2 linked regions of the Notamacropus eugenii genome follow. The protein of the gene in region 1 binds, or shares a complex with, the protein of each later gene. Links are inferred from orthologs where the notes say so. Each region holds a gene or a part of one and is shown on either strand. Other genes may lie near its edges.

Evidence for each region. Proteins that work in one complex are often made in the same cells at the same time.
Region 2: the proteins of BCCIP (region 1) and TENT5A are in contact, whole or in part, in a crystal structure (PDB 8EXE), measured with the Homo sapiens proteins. The link is inferred for Notamacropus eugenii from reciprocal best matches to the Homo sapiens genes BCCIP and TENT5A. Residues at the interface, in NP_510868.1 of Homo sapiens: Val57, Asn58, Ile59, Glu60, Phe61, Glu62, Ala63, Tyr64, Ser65, Leu66, Gln146, Val149, Leu150, Phe152, Cys153, Glu154, Lys155, Asn156, Cys157, Glu158, Lys159, Glu163, Lys167, Leu203, Ala204, Ala206, Thr225; in NP_060103.2 of Homo sapiens: Arg87, Gly88, Asp139, Glu151, Gln155, Lys158, Lys184, Glu185, Val188, Gln189, Lys190, Met191, Val192, Lys193, Val194, Cys195, Asn196, Asp199, Trp201, Asn213, Arg289, Lys295, Glu331, Arg334, Gln341, Asn342, His343.

Annotation. Positions count from the first base shown.
Region 1 is NC_092872.1:282,197,189-282,205,216, reverse strand, and holds the start of BCCIP (BRCA2 and CDKN1A-interacting protein), read right to left. Parts: upstream 3,107-8,028; coding exon 2,885-3,106; intron 1-2,884. UniProt on the Homo sapiens protein: During interphase, required for microtubule organizing and anchoring activities. During mitosis, required for the organization and stabilization of the spindle pole.
Region 2 is NC_092873.1:154,128,170-154,135,644, forward strand, and holds the start of TENT5A (terminal nucleotidyltransferase 5A), read right to left. Parts: upstream 3,268-7,475; 5' UTR 2,819-3,267; intron 2,516-2,818; 5' UTR 2,460-2,515; coding exon 1,956-2,459; intron 843-1,955; coding exon 63-842; 3' UTR 1-62.

The sequences.
Region 1 (8,028 bases):
AAGGCAATGTGCGGTGCAGAGTACTGGACTGATCATAGACTTTCCAAGCTAAATATTCGCATTCATCAAAAGTGCTGCCCCCCAAGGCAAAATGACTACCAGAAGAATCAATGTCAACAAATTAGAGCTCTTCTCTGAGCATGAAGTTTGCTACTGATTTGGAGGGAAGGTTGAGCCAACGCACAATTGGTAACAGTGGAGCAGAAAGGGAGTGGGCAGCTTTCAGAGATTTGGTGCACAGCACTGCATTTGCTCATCTGGGTCAGAACACTTGCAAACACCAAGACTGGTTTGTTGAAAATGATGGGGAAACTCAGAAGCTGATAAACAAAAAACGAGAACTCCACAGGATTTACCAGCAGGATAGTTCATCCACCTCTAAGAAGGCAGCATTTAATTCCATCAAAAGCAAAAGCTACAAGCAAAGCTTAGAGAGAAGCAGGATTCCTGGCTCAGTAAGAATGCAGATGAAATTCAGTTTTATGCTGATAGTAACAATCCAAAGCACTTTTATGATTCCCTGAAAGCTATTTATGGACCAACAACCTACGATGCATCACAACTACTCAGTGCTGATGGAACCACATTGATTAGTGATAAGGACAGGATCCTAGAGAGATAGGCTGAACACTTCCATAGTGTTCTCAACAGACTATCATCAATCAATGCTGAGGCTACTGATTGTTTACCTCAGTTGAAGTCAATCCCTCCTTAGTTGAACTTCCAACTGAAGAAGAGGTTTTGAGGACCATTAGGCTCCTTTCATGTGGCAAAGCACCTGGTACTGATTCTATTCTAGCTGAGATTTACAAGGTACGGGGACCATTGCTCATACAAAAGCTGACTGAAATTTTCTAGGTTATATAGCAAGAGGAGGTTATCACCCAGGGGTTGAAGGATACCTCCATTGTCCATGTCTATAAAGGTAAAGGGAATAGATTGTCCTGTGACAATCAGAGATATCTCTCTTAGTCATTGTGGGCAAAATTCTTGCTAGAGTCCTCCTTAATAGGCTGATCTGACCTGGAAGACAGTCATATACCCGAGAGTCAGGGAACTTCAGAAAAGGCCAAGGAACAGTCAATATGGTGTTTGCCGCCCAACAACTCCAGGAGAAATGCCAGGAAAAATCTGACCAAGGCCTTTGACACTGTTAGTCACGAATGCTTATGTCAAATATGAATGAAAAATTATGTCAAAATGAAAATTATGTCAAAATTTGGTTACCTGGAGAAGTTCATCAGCATTGTACATTAATTTCATGATGGTATGTTGCCCAGGTTCTAGACAATGGACAATGCTCTCATGCCTTCCCAATGGAGTGAAACAGGGCTGTGTGCTTGCTCCCATGCTGTCAAATGCTTTCAATGAGAATGAACATGGCATCAAGTTCAGCTACCGCACTGATGGTAGGTTCTTGAATTTGAAAAGGCTATAAGCCAAGACCAAAATGGAAGGGAGTGTTTGTGCACGACTTTCTGTTTGGAGATGATTGTGCACCCAATGCAGCCTCTGAAGCTGAGAGGCAACAAAGAATGGATCAATTCTCTGCTGCCTGTGCTAACTTTGGTCTAATAATTAACACCAAGAAAACATAGGTGCTTCATCAGCCACCACCACACCATCCATACATGGAACCATCAGTTACAACAAACGGAGAAGTTTTGAATGCTGTGGATAAGTTCACTTATCCTTACTAGTGTACTTTCCAGGGATGTACACATTGATAATGAGGTTGATGCACACACTGCCAGAGATAGCTCCGTGTTTGGGAGGCTCCAAAGAAAAGTTTGGGAGAGAAGAGGTATTAGACTGACTACCAAACTGAAAGCCTACAGAGCCATTCTGTTGACCTCATTGTTGTATGCCTATGAAACATGGACAGTCTGCCAGCGCCATGCCAGGAAACTGAATCACTTCCATTTGAACTGTCTTAGGAAGATTCTGAGGATCACCTGGCAGGATAAGGTACCAGACGCTGAAGTCCTTGCTAGAACTAAACTGCCAAGCCTTCAAACTATGCTTCAGAGAGCACAACTCTGATGGGCTGGCCACACTGCTCGAATGCAAAATATACACTTGCCAAAAAGACTACTTTATGGAGAACTGGCATGGGGCAGGTGATCACGTGGTGGTCAGAAGAAGTGATACAAGGACACTCTCAAGAACTTTGGATCTGACTGTGCAACATGGGAGACACTGGCACAGGACGGCTCAGCATGGAGTGCCCACATCAGAAAAGGGGCCGTGCTCTATGAGCAAAGCAGAACAGACAGCACAAAGTAAGTGTAGGATGTGCACATTTGGAGTATCCACCCCAGATACTCCCACGGACTGTCTGTGCCCAACCTGTGGCGGAGCACTCTGAGCTCGTGCTGGTCTGACCAACAGTGGGACACACAGAAACTTCACTTTATCATGGTGACGTCATTTTGGTCCTCTTTGAAGACGAAGGACAACAGCCACGTGAAGTCTGAACACGCACCCGTGCCCAAACACGCACATATGCACACAAGGCAGCACAGGCACACACGTGAGCGCACACGTGAGCACACACAGGGACACTCGCACACCCAGGGGAGGCCGGCCCTGGCTCCAAGGGGAACCGGCAGAGAGCCTCGCGCTGGGGCTGCAGGGCATACGGGGCATACGGCAGGCATTCGCTAATGCCCACTGCAGCAGGGGGGGAGGGGAGAGGAATGAGCCAAGTCCCTCCCTCTGTCCGGGCCTCGGTTTCCCCACCTGTCAAAAGTGTGAGAAGCCAGACTGGGCCCTCCCCACGTGCCTAAGGCGTGCCACGTCCTGAGGGACAGAACCTCCCGCCCTCAAGGGGCTGACAGGCTACGCGGTGACGTCACTGAGCGCCGCGGCAGGTCCACCCCACCTGGTTGACGAGCTCGTCTTCTTCGTCCTCCTCTTCATCGCTCTCGTCGCCGCTCTCGTCGGTGTCCTCCGCCGTCTCCTCGCGCTCCTCCTCGGCCCGGGCTCCCGGAGGCTGCGGGTGCCGGTTGCCCAGGGCGCGCTTCTTGGCCTGGGACGCCATGCTGCCTGTCTCCCACTGCACCTGCGCAGCTGCTTCCGGGTTAGGGCTTCTGGGCCGGCTCATGCGCGTGGGGAGAAAGTTCCCAGAGTATGGGCGGGAGAGGAGCGAGTCTAAGGCGCTTTGAAGCCCCTAAAGTAGGGAGAGCAGCCTTCGAGCCTGATCTGTTTCGTTGAACATTAAATGATCCTGGATGCGCCCTGATGCTGGCCTCCCCGGGCCTGAGTTCCCCCTCGTCCGACAGTGGTTCGCTCCACCGAGGGGGGAGCTGGGAGTGGATCCTTGGAAGGGCAGGGGGCGTGGCCTGCTGTGCGCGTGCGCCTACGCCCGTGCGCGTGCGCACTTGTGCGCGAATCACTTAAGACCTTCGCGTGGCTCTCTTCGTTTACCGGCGGGGAAACTGAGGTCGCTGCTGTCTCCCAACATCATGGCTCCGGGTCAGTGCCCCCGCCCCCCAGGGCTGTCCACGGCCACGAGCATTTTCAAAGGACGTACCTTCCGTGGAGTCCAAGGCCCTTCCCTTGTGACAGAGAAGGAAACTGAGACCCAGGAAGGGGAGGGAGTGGCCCGAGGCCTCCTGGGCAGGGAGTTAGCAGAGGCACAACTCGAACCCGGGCCGGGCCTTCTCCGACCTTTTCTTCGTGTGCCTCTAAAACCCTGCCCAGTGGGGGCCTAAGGGGTCATCTAGTGTCAAGGGTCACCCAGGGCCTCCGGGTCATCGATCACAGCACAGAGTCCCTCCCCTCACGTTCCCCTGTGCCAGTGGAGCCAGCCCGCACCATCAGCCGCAGGAAGCTCCGGGACCCCCACAGCCATCAGCGTGTGGCACAGTGCTCGAACCCAGGTCTTCTTCCTCCCGCTCCCTGGGTCCGCCATCCCCCTGGCCCGGCTGCACGCTGGACAGGCTGCAGGGAGAAGCTCTGTTTAATGTGCCCCGCCTAAGCTCCTCCTCTCCCGTGCCAGGCGCTGGGAGTGCCACCAGCCCCAGGGCCAAGGGAAGGTTTTGTGCAGCCCCAGACCTGAGCCTGTGTGGGGGAGGTGGGGGCCACCCCCGCGGGAGCTTAAGTCAGAGCTGTCTGGAAAGATGGCATCCGCCTCTTCCTCCCAGGAGACTGAAGCTGAAGAGGAGAGGCTTGGGGAACCGGAGCAAGGAGGTGAGAGTTTGGGGTTTGGAGGCAGGAGCCTGAGAGAGACAGCCTGGGTCAGCCTGTTAAGAATGGGCCTTGGTGGTCAAGAACAGGTGGCACTAAAGAAAGTCGGAGGGCTGAGGGGCATCCAGACACTCTCAGAGCTCAGCTCACACCCTCACTTCATGATCTCAGAGAAAGCAATAGTAAAAAGAGATTTAACTAAAAGAGAAAAATAGGGAGTATACACACACGCACACACACACAAAATGACATGACATCTGAATTCTTACAAGAAAAGTTAAATGTGTTATAGGAAAACACAGTAGAACTATAATAGTAGGGAGGGAGCTTCTGTTTACCCCCTCACACCTACAGGAATCTAACCAAAAGAAGCAAAGGACCTAAATAAGATTTTAGAAAAATTTGATATGATAGTCCTCTAGAGGTTGTCAGATGGAAATAGAAAGGATTATATATATTTATCACCTGTAGACAGCACCTTTACAAAAAAAAAAATGACCATGTAATAGGGCATAAAAACCTCACAAACATGCAAAAAAGCAGATATATTAAATGCACCTGTTTTACAGACCACAATACAATTAAAAATCAACAAATATTCACTAAATTAACAATTAAAAATTAAATGGAGACTAACTCAAGCCTAAAGAATTGGCAGGTCAAAGAACAAATATAAACTGATCACTTCATTTAAGAGAATTACAACAAAGAGAAAACATAGCAGAATTTTCAGGATTCAGCCAAAGTTATCTTTAGAGGAAACTATGGCTCTAAATACTTTGATTAGTAAAAGAGACCTGATCAATGAATTGGGGCAATGCAATTAAAAAACACACACACACTAGAAAACCAACAAATTTAAGCTCTCCAAATAAATGCCAAAATAGAAAATCCAAATATCAAAAAAGATTAATAAAATTGAAAGTGAAAAAAATTGAATTAATAATACTAACAGCTTTTAAAAAGATAGATAAATCATTCAAAGAGAAGAAAACGAAATTACCTAGCATCAAAAGAAAGATAAATCCATCCACTGAACCTCATTTGTGTCTAGTGGCATTTGTCAGCAGCCCTAGGGGTGTCCATCAGCTCTCCTTCCCTCCCACTAGCTAACTGGCTCTTCTCTCCCAACTGCACATTTCCCAAATGTTATCTTTTACATGCAGGAGGCATGCACCAAGTAGGGCCCGGTGGGGAGAGAGTCAGTCTCAGAACCAGGAAGGTGAAGACTGGAGTTCTCCTTCTGACACACACTGGCAGCTGACCTGACCACCCTTAGAACACAGTTTTCAAAGCAGGTACCAGCCTGGTTTCGTAGAGGGGGTTCCTGTGGTCCAGTCCCCTTCTCTCCCATGCACACCCCTGTTCATGCCCACGTCACCTCTGGTGTCCACCTCCTCTGACTCCTTCACAAGTGTGATCCTTGATCATTGAAACACCAGCCTGACTTCCTGGCCGGAAACAGGGAATTGTTGAAATGATAAACTTTTTTTTGTAGTTTGAAGTCCAAAAACAAACTAAAAAGGTCTTAACATTGCTAATGAGCTCTTTTTTTAGCCTTGGGTCCAGTTGCTGGCTGTTTTCTCAGATGGACCTAATATAGTTTGTACCTGGCCTATTTGGGGACTGAGGGGTTATGGCTTTGGTTAGATTCTTTTCTTACAGATAAAAGAAAGCCTCAATTAGGAGGACAATATTGATGAAAAATGTGCCTCTGCACACGCAACACACATAAAAGAACATCAGCTTTGCCTGGAAAAATTTTTTTTAAAACGAAAGTACTTTTTCCTTTAAAAACAAAAAGATCTCAGGATTCTGGCAGGAAACCTCAGTAGTTGATGGTAATACAAAGACTTGTCTGCAGTGTTTTCCCTGAATTTTCCATTGGAGAAATCACTGGGGATATCAGGAAAAACAGCATAGCACATAAGTAAAAAAAAGCTCATTTTGCACTAGGCTGTTGGGTTTTAAAACATGTTTGATCCGTGAATAAAACCCTTTTCTGTGTAAAGCCCTTTCACCTTGAAGAATGTCAGTTCACAGGAGTAAAGGCTAACATTTATGTGGCACTTTAAGGTTTGCAAACTGCCTTATAGCTGCTATCTCATTTCATCATCACAACAGCCCTGTGAGGGAGATGTTATTCCTGTTCCCTTATCACACATGAGGAAACTGAGGCAGAGAAGTTAAGTGACTGAGCTAGGATGTCCAGCTAAGTCTGGGTCTAGGGCATCTTTCTGATTCCACATTCAGTACCAGTGACTCTACCAGTCAGCGGGCTCAACTCCGGGTGCAGTAATACTATTCCAGTCTCTGAGTTTTCATCAGTTCTCATCAACTCCCTCTACTTTTGGAATACCTGCTTCCCCTCAAGGTACAGCTCAGTTGCTTTTTGTTCCAGAGGCCCAGGCAGAGCCCCCCAGTTACTTTGTGTCCATTTTGTGTTTACTTTTCCTTGTTCACGTTTCTCCGGAAAAGGAGAGAAGCTCCTTGTGGGCAGGACCTGTTTCATCTTTTCCAGGTACCTGGCACAGTACAAGCTTAAATACTTTGTAAACGACAGTCATCTGGGCCTAATCTGTGTTTTTGTGTTTAACACTTAAGGAAACAGAGTCCCAGAGAAGCTCGAATGATTTCACAAATGCCTTCCAGTGCTATAGTGGCTGAGTTGAGCTATAAATGACCCACCATCCAGCACTTTGGGGATACTGATCTGTCCTTTCTAGCCACTGCAAGGAAACAAGCAAAGAATTTGACTGCAGTAAATAAAGTAGAGAGGGGGAGGAAGGATGAAGCAGACTGCAGCACAGAAGGAAGCGAAGGGCCAGAAGAGGAGGAAAACAAGAGTTGGAATGAAATACCAGAAAAAAGGCCTTTCTTGCTCTGCTTGGGCATTGAGAGGGGGCTGCAATGGGAGTCTAGGTTGGACGGTTTCAGCCACAGCTAGGAAAGGACACAGTCTGGTGCTGACAGTTTCAGTATGAATTGGTGCTTTCAGCTGAAATGGGCCGTGGCTGTTTCATCCTCAAGTTAGAGGGTACTTGAGTACACCCTGAATGAGATTCTGTTCGAACTACAAATGCCAAGATGTCCATGCCACTCAATTACATCCCCATTTCCTTGGGGTATTAGGATTGTGAGAGGCTGTGCAGCTAGTTTCTGGTTGAAACACATTATGAATAACTCCATGAAATGATTAGATAATACCCATCTCCCCAAAGCAGCCATCGCAATCTAGCTGCCTTACCGTGAAGATAATTAGAATTTGGTTTCATAAGCATTATTTGTTTGCCAAGGCTTTGTTGCTTAGATACCAAGGAATAGGATTGTTCAGTCAGGGTCCTAGACAAACTCTGCTGCCTGCTGACCTTCTGCACTGAGAAGGAGGTCAGCAGTCTCTTAGAAGTGATAGAATTTTAGCTTTGCCTGTCCCCTCCCCTCATCTTCTATTGATGAAGCAGTACTTGGTAGTTAAAGGATATATTACCAATGCATAGGCACCCCATTCTTCACCACCACCACTGGCTGCTGAGGGCTGTGACATTTGTAACATGACTTCCCAGGGCTCAAGATCCTTCATGGACCATCCCTACGCACAATGATAGGGGGTCTGTACTAGGGCTCTTTCCTGCAGTGCATTAGGTATATGAGAGACTTTCTTTTCCATAGCTGTCAATGTGCCTAAATAATGTGGAGAGCTCTCATAGCCCCTTCCCTTGGAAAGAGCCTTGAGGGCTTATATTTTCCCTGTCATCCAAACATGAGCCTTATCAAAGGCAGCCTGCACATTTCTTGTCATCCTTATCAGTGATTCAGCCACCCAGGGAAGGGCCTGAG
Region 2 (7,475 bases), on another chromosome or scaffold:
CACTCTTTTTTTTAAACTTCTCAGGAAAAACATTTTCCCTCTGGACATTTTAGAAATGGTCCTTAATTGCAGGGCAACCAAGTAGAGTATGTATGCTGCTGGCATGTGAACACTGGCTGAACCTGGGCAATATAGTAATTGCTAAAGTTGGCATCTGCTACATATGGAGCTGGCTGGTAGTAACAGGTGACATTGGCCACATTGGGGATAATATTTTGCTCAGCCAGCACACGGATAGCCAGCATGGTAATGAGATTCAAAGTCTGTCTTCTCTCGTGTCCCATCAAACACACCGTACTTTCATTCACCACACCGTGAAGGGTCATGAGATAGTCATACTTGCGGTCTTCCAATCCCACAAAGTGGTTCTGCAAGTAGGATTCCAATTTTCTCTGCTGTTCACCAATGTCTGAGAAGTCGATGAAAAATCTGGAACACATATACCTCTGGAGGGACTTAATTTCAGCTTCAGAAGCAGCTCTAAAGCCCCTAACCAAAAGGTTACAGTATTTGAGAAGCCCTCCTCCTCTGATTTCTTCTGGATTTCTGGTAGCAATGACCTTGTTGCAAAGGTGATCAAAGGCTTCTTGGAAATCCCCATAGACACTCTCCCCGATTATAGTGGGGTGAAAAGTTTCAGTCATTGGATTCTCTGAGCATTCATAAAAAAGCAAGAGAGAGTCTAACTTGATTTGGAAAGAGTCTACACTGAACTCAAACTGGCGCCGCAGGGAATCCACAAATTTCAGTTCCACATTTTTGCCACTGTTGTTTGACAGAGAGATGAGACTCCAGCGGTCTGAGTCATTGCATACTTTTACCATTTTCTGCACGTAAGCTTCCTAAAACATGAAAGACAAAGCAAGCAGATGAACACGACTACTAATTTAAATCAACCTCTTTTCACAAGTTAGAATGCAGCTGGCTCCTTTCACATTTTACTCAAACGCCCTAGGCTATCTACAGGTTTGAATACTCCCCTTCCAGAGGTTCCCCTCCCCCGCAACAAACTCATCTCCTAGGTAAATGAGACTTTTACAGCCTGGGATAGAGAAAAGAAGAAAAATATAAGTCTGATGTTCCTAGTAGATCGGGTTCAGTACTAACAGGTTCCGGGACAATGTCGGTGGTATTTCCTGAGAAGGCTGACTGCTCATGCCCACACAATTTTAACCAATTGCAAAAATGTTGCCAAAAAGGCTGACTCTGTAAGCCTTAAAGCATGCGGGTTTCCAAAATCCAGAGCCCATAACCGATTCATATTTTCCAATACAACAGCACTCAACTCATTGTCTCAGTCTTACTTCTTCAACGCAGTCTCACTAAGCTTGGGAGTCCTAACAGGACTCACCAAAGAAATTTAAATGGTTAAATAAATACAGATATTAAAATAAGCGACTTTCAAAACGTCACTACTTTTTAGTTCCTGAAATCCGTTCCAATGGAAACTTTCTTAGATAATGCATGCAAGGCTTTTTAAGATAAAATAAAATAAAAAATAAAAAAGGGTGTGTGTGTGCATAGAAAGAAAAAAGGAAACAAAATATTTAATAAGCGCCTACTACGTGGGCACTAGATACATTTTTACAAATGCTTAAATTTACGTGAGCTACCAACTTAGTAGATTCCAAAATTTATTCTCCAAAGCGACGCTAGGTTGCACGCACTTTACAGAGCCTCTAGTGGGGGGGATGGGGGGGTGTAGAGAGCTGGAGAGGGAGTAAGGAAGGTAAGAAGTGACTTAGAGAAATACATAACTTTTTTTATGACACGACTACATTGCTGACTGGTAAGGGAAATAGGACGAGGGAATGAGGGGAAAGGGAACACTCTAAAGCACCTTTAGTCAAAGCTAACTTTTCCGGCTCCATTTCCAGATCAAGAAAGTCCTACTTACTTCCATTCCAATCTGACTTCCCTTTGCAAGTCAATTCATTAGGAAGACTGACTTTTACCTTAAGAGTTAGAGGCGTAATCTTCTCCTTATTCACTCCTTCAGGCAAGAAATCCAATAGGCAGTCCAGGACCACGTCCTTGACAGTCTGAAACTCCTCTTCCCCCTGGAGATCTGCGCAGAAGATGAGGTCCAGGTCCTTGTAGCCCAGGCCACTGTCCTGGTGCAGGACGTGGCTAGCGGCGGAGCCGTTGAGTCGCACGTCGCGGACCCCAATGCGCTTCTCCTCCAGGCGGCTCCTCACCACCTTCACGATCTGACGGGGCTGCATCTCCAGGGTGGGAAAGTTGCCCCGGCCGTGGATGGGGATCGTCTCGCTCAAGATGTCGTCGAGCCGCTGCACTTGCTCCCAGCTCAGCACGTTACAATGCATGGTGGGGTTCTCACAGCAGCCAACACAGCAGTTATTCCCACCAAAGCCGCTGTTGCTGCAGCTGCAGCCGCACCACTCGCCGCCGCTGCCAGTACAGATGCGGACGCTTTTGGCGCTTTCGTCATCAGCCATGGTAAAGAGCCGTTTTCCCTCCGTTGCGAAATGCCCGGTGAATGCCAGGTTTTGCCCTAGGAGATAAGAAAGCAAAAGAAAAGATAAGTTAGAACCATTAAGCGGGTGGCTGGCGGCGAGGAGTCAGAGCCCCGTGACAGCCTGAAGATCCCAACCTAGGAGTTGCTGGATGGTTTTCCACTACAAATCTAAGGAAGATTTTCGCTTTCCCTCCCAGTCTAAAAATTGGACCTCTCCCCTCTCTCCCACATACACAGACCAGAAACCCCCGCAGCTTAGCCCAAAATGAACAGAATAGTCTCAGCTGCAAAAGGATGAACTGGAACTGATCCCATGTTCCCGTCCCACTTCTGTCACACCTGGGCTGAGTCGCAGCCTCCTGATCCGAAGAGTTATGAGTGTATGAACACAACAGCGAAGGAGAGAAAGCTTGGGACAAAGTGCAGAGGAGCCGTGGGTAGCTGAAGCGCAGAGTCGGGCAAAGGGGCTTCTCTTCCTGAATCCTGGCCAATTAACCTCTTTCGTTACTTTCTGTGCCCTGCTCTCCCTGGCTGGCAGAGAGTGCGGGTCTGTCTCTGCGTGCGCGAGGTCTTTACTCTTTTTTCCTCCACCTCCTTTTCTTAAGTGCTGCTCTCTCCCTTGAGGAGACTGGGGCAGCTGCCGTCGGGGCTACTCTATCCTGGGCTGCCACTGGCTTCCTGACGCTGCTGCTGCTGCGGCTGCTGTCCCGCCACCGCCTCCGCTTAAGCTTCCGTCTCTAGAGCTTTAGCAGTTCTGCTTGGGAAATGTCTTCTGTACTTTTTTATATGGGATTTCTCCGAGCTTCCGGGGATCATAGTCGCTGCACTCTAGCCACACCCACTTCATCTACATAGAGTTCGGCCTTCGGACCCAGTTCTGGCTCCCCCGCCCACCTCATTTACATAGAAATCTGCTTCTGCCCTCCCAACCCAGACTAGAACCATCTTTTGAGAGAGAACACCACCCTTTTTTTCTCTTTTTTTTCTACGCCACCTCTTTCTTTTCCCTAAGAAGCAGCATTGAAAATAGTTGTGTTTTTTTTTTTATAAAGAATGAAAAACAGCTTAAGTAGGCTACTGAAATTGTATCACCTGTTTAAACTACTGAAACTTCCTAGGGAAAAAAAATTGAATTTATTTTGCAAGGAATTGCTGCTAGTCACTTCATTAATTATGCTCAATTAAACGAGTGGAAATCCCAAAAGGTTCCTTTAATAAAATATTTTAGACAAGCGTATGAATGAATGCAGGGGTTATTCATAAAGTCTAAGTGGGGCTTTGCTTTTTTATTTTTCTCCCTTAATAACCTTGATTTAAATGTAAGTACAGTTCCTACACTTTTCCGATCAACGATACTTTAGCATGGAAGAAGGGAAGAGTTCGGGGTAACTGAGATTCAGTTCCAGCAACAAGTATATATGCCAATGAGTACACCCAAGGAGATAGCTCCTGAGATTCCGGCCGGGCGCATCAGGGGAGGATGCTGATGACTCATGCACCCACGTAAAAGTGTTTCTCCTAGGGCTGAATTAAAACTTGAAGAACAGCAGCTTGATGGACAGCTGGAGTCGCAGCAGCTCTACCCGACCCAACGTCACTGAGACCTGCGCTCCAGCCCCAGCTGCACGGAGAATCCTGGAGGCTTTGATGAGGGAAAGGCTAGACCAATCACCGAAGCCTCCGCGATGACGCTTATGCCTTTCTCTCGTCTAGTGGAAAGGAGGGTAGTGGGGGTGGGGGGTGGGGGGAGGGGGAAGAAGCCAATGGGCGAGTTGCGTGGGCGGGGCTGTGCCTGCTGTCAGAACTGTCTGAATGAGCTCGGTACGCGCAAGAAGGGGGAGTGGGAGAGGGGATAGAGGAGGAAAGACGTTGCCCTTATGTGGACCAAGCCGCCCACGCGGGGCAGCTTAGCTGCGACTCTCTCCTGTCAGGTTTTCTAGAAAAGACTAGGAGGAAAAGGCTCTTTTTGTGCTTCTTCCCCTACTAAATCTTTTTTTTTTTTAAAGCGGGCATGTAATAAATTATTTTAAAATGCTCTCTCTGTCTCTGTCTCTCTCTGTCTCTGTCTCTCTGTCTCTCTCTGTCTCTCTCTCTCTGTGTCTCTCTCTGTGTGTCTCTCTGTCTCTGTCTCTGTCTCTGTCTCTCTCTCTCTTCCCTATGGATCATAAAAAGGAATGAATTTCTTTCCCAGACACAGGAAATGAATGGGTGACAATCAGTTTCAGAGCTCCTTTTCGTTGGCCCCTGATTTGGCTCTTTGAAGTGTATGTACCAAGGTTCAACATTTATAGTCCACAGGGGCCCCTTTTACATCATCACTACGGCAAGAGAGGTCCGTGCTTTGATAGAAAGCACTGTTTCTCACAAAAGTGCAAAAAACAAAAAACAAAAAAACCATTCCTGAAACCTGCGTGTTGTGTTTGTGCTTTGAGTGAGTGGTACGTAGGGGAATAGGAAGGGATAAATGGGAGTAACCGCTGGGAGTGCTAAGAGCCCACTATATAACACTAGAGTATCAGGGGCTAAAGGAGAATGTACCCCAGTCCCTTTGGCATCCTCATGCCACCAGGGGCATCATTACACACTGCGTACTCGCTTGACTCACTCTAAATGGGGAATGGAGATACCTTGCAACTGAAACTTAAGGGATCGCAGAGATAGGGGGCGGGGACGGGGGGGGGGGGGTAACCTAGGGAGCATCCAGTTGTGTGGCAAGGCCTCCCCCTGCCGGAGAGAAAAAGAACTATATTTAAACGCAAAAGCAAACTCCTTTAACTGCTGGGCGTGGGGTTAGGGGGCGAGGGGAACATCTCTTCACCGTCAAAGACTAGTACTTGGGAAATAGTCCAGAACTAGGGAGTATTCCTTTAGGCCAGGTATTAGTAGAATGAATGATCTCTCCCCGACTTATCTAAATAATTCAAACACATTCATTCAGACTCTCAGATACACCCTGTCCTCAGAGCCAACACTTGATAACGTCTCCCTAAACTGAAAAGTAAGTAAGCTGGTAGAAGAAAACGGTTGTGTGACTAAAGTTACGGTTTTTAAAAAGGTCTGCTGTATTCTGAGTAGGTTTAGGTCCACTGGAGAGGACAAAAAAAGAAAATCAAATATTTTTTTTTCATATTCAGGTTTGTAACAATTTTCTTTTGGCAATTCGTGTTATTAGATAAAAAGAAAATCTAGTCACAGGACAAATAGCAATCATCTTCAGTCCTACAGAATCGGTCCCATTTCTCTGATAAATCATTCCTGATCTCTCATATACCTTCCAGGATCATAGTTCTAGAATTTGAAGGGACTTTCCCCAAGGACATCTATTCCAACCTTTTCATTTTACTGGTGAGAGAACTGAGGCCAGGGGAAATCAGGAGGAGTGGGTTCCAAGACCTTATTTAAATGACTGACTGAGTACCATCTAGCAGATGTTTGTTTAATGGTTGATTGGCTATGTGCACATGAATAAGGTACTTAATTTTTCTGAACTTCATATTTCTTATCTGTAGATTAAGGGAGATGGCCATAATGAGGAGGAGGAGAGTGAGGAAGAGAAAGAGGAGGAGAATGATTCAGTGCTTTAAGTTTTACAAAGTTCTTTGCTTGCAAAAGTCCTGTAAGGAAGACATTGCAAGCAGGAATTAGTTGCTACTAATGGTTTCTTCCAGCTCTAAAGTCTAAAGTTTCTCTAGTATAATACATATAATCATTGACTCTTCATGCCTGCAACTTATAAACTACCTAACAGTTACATTTAAGTATTTTAGAGAAGGTAACACAAAGTTTAAGATGCAGGATTGAGAGTTTGCTCATTGCAAAATGGAAGTGGTTACTCTAGTGAATAGGACCACGACTTAGTCTATTCCTACCTATCTAGCTCAGTTTCAATCAATTAATAGTTATAACAGGCACAGTGTTAAGTAATAAGGATACAAGAAGAGGCAAAAGTCAATTCCTGCCCTCAATTTGTAAGCAAATTGTACATATTTATTTATAAACACACACATTTTATATATATGTATACATACATACATACGCATGTATACATTTATGTAGATAGATAGTTTCCAGAGAAATGGGGACTACATGGTTTCTTAGAAAGTATCTAATGCCTAGCTATGTCTCTTCTGGCACAGAGTTGGTTGAAAATACAACATATGTTAAGAACATTTCACATCTGTGAAATTCACAGTGTAGAGATCTGCATTGATTCAACAAAACTGGTGTTAAAGTTTAAAAAACATTTTTTTCAGTACACTTACTCTTCAAAGGATTGGCAGAGTACTAACCTGAACAAATAAATTTATATCACTCTGTTGAAGAATTTAGAACATCAAAAACATATATGAGAAGAAAACTGGCACATGATGCCAAGAAGGGATGTGGGGATTGAAGTAGGAACAGGTTTATGATGGGTAATCTAAACTCAGGAATTCAGTTTCTCTGGAAGATGCTGGAATATCTTTTGATTTAGCCATTACTTTTCACAGGAATGAACACAACAGTGGAATTTTAAATGTATTTACTGATAAAGGCTAATGAGGGAGAGAGGAAGTTATAAGTGACAGGGAGCTGAGAAAGTCATAGGATCATATATTCGGAGCAATAAGGGCTTTCAGAGTCCTTCTAGTCCAACTCCCGAATTTTATTAACCAGGAAACAGATGGCTGGGGGGTTAAGGGACTTGCTCAAAATCACCTGGGTAGTAAATACCAAAGGTAGGACCAAGTTCTCTGGTTCTGGAATGAGTTCTCCTTCCACAGTCCCAAGCTGCTTCTAAACATATCACAAAGCAAGCCAGTCAATACAAAATAAGGATATGATAATCAATTTTGTGGGTCATCTATTGAAAGGCACTCATTTTGTGAGTGAGGGAAGTGAGGCATAGAAAAGTTAATTAATTTGGCTTGTCCAAGGTCATAGAGTTACTAAGGGACTGGGCTAGAATTCAAACTAAAGTTTTCTGACTAAATCTAGAACTCTTTCTACAGCCCTA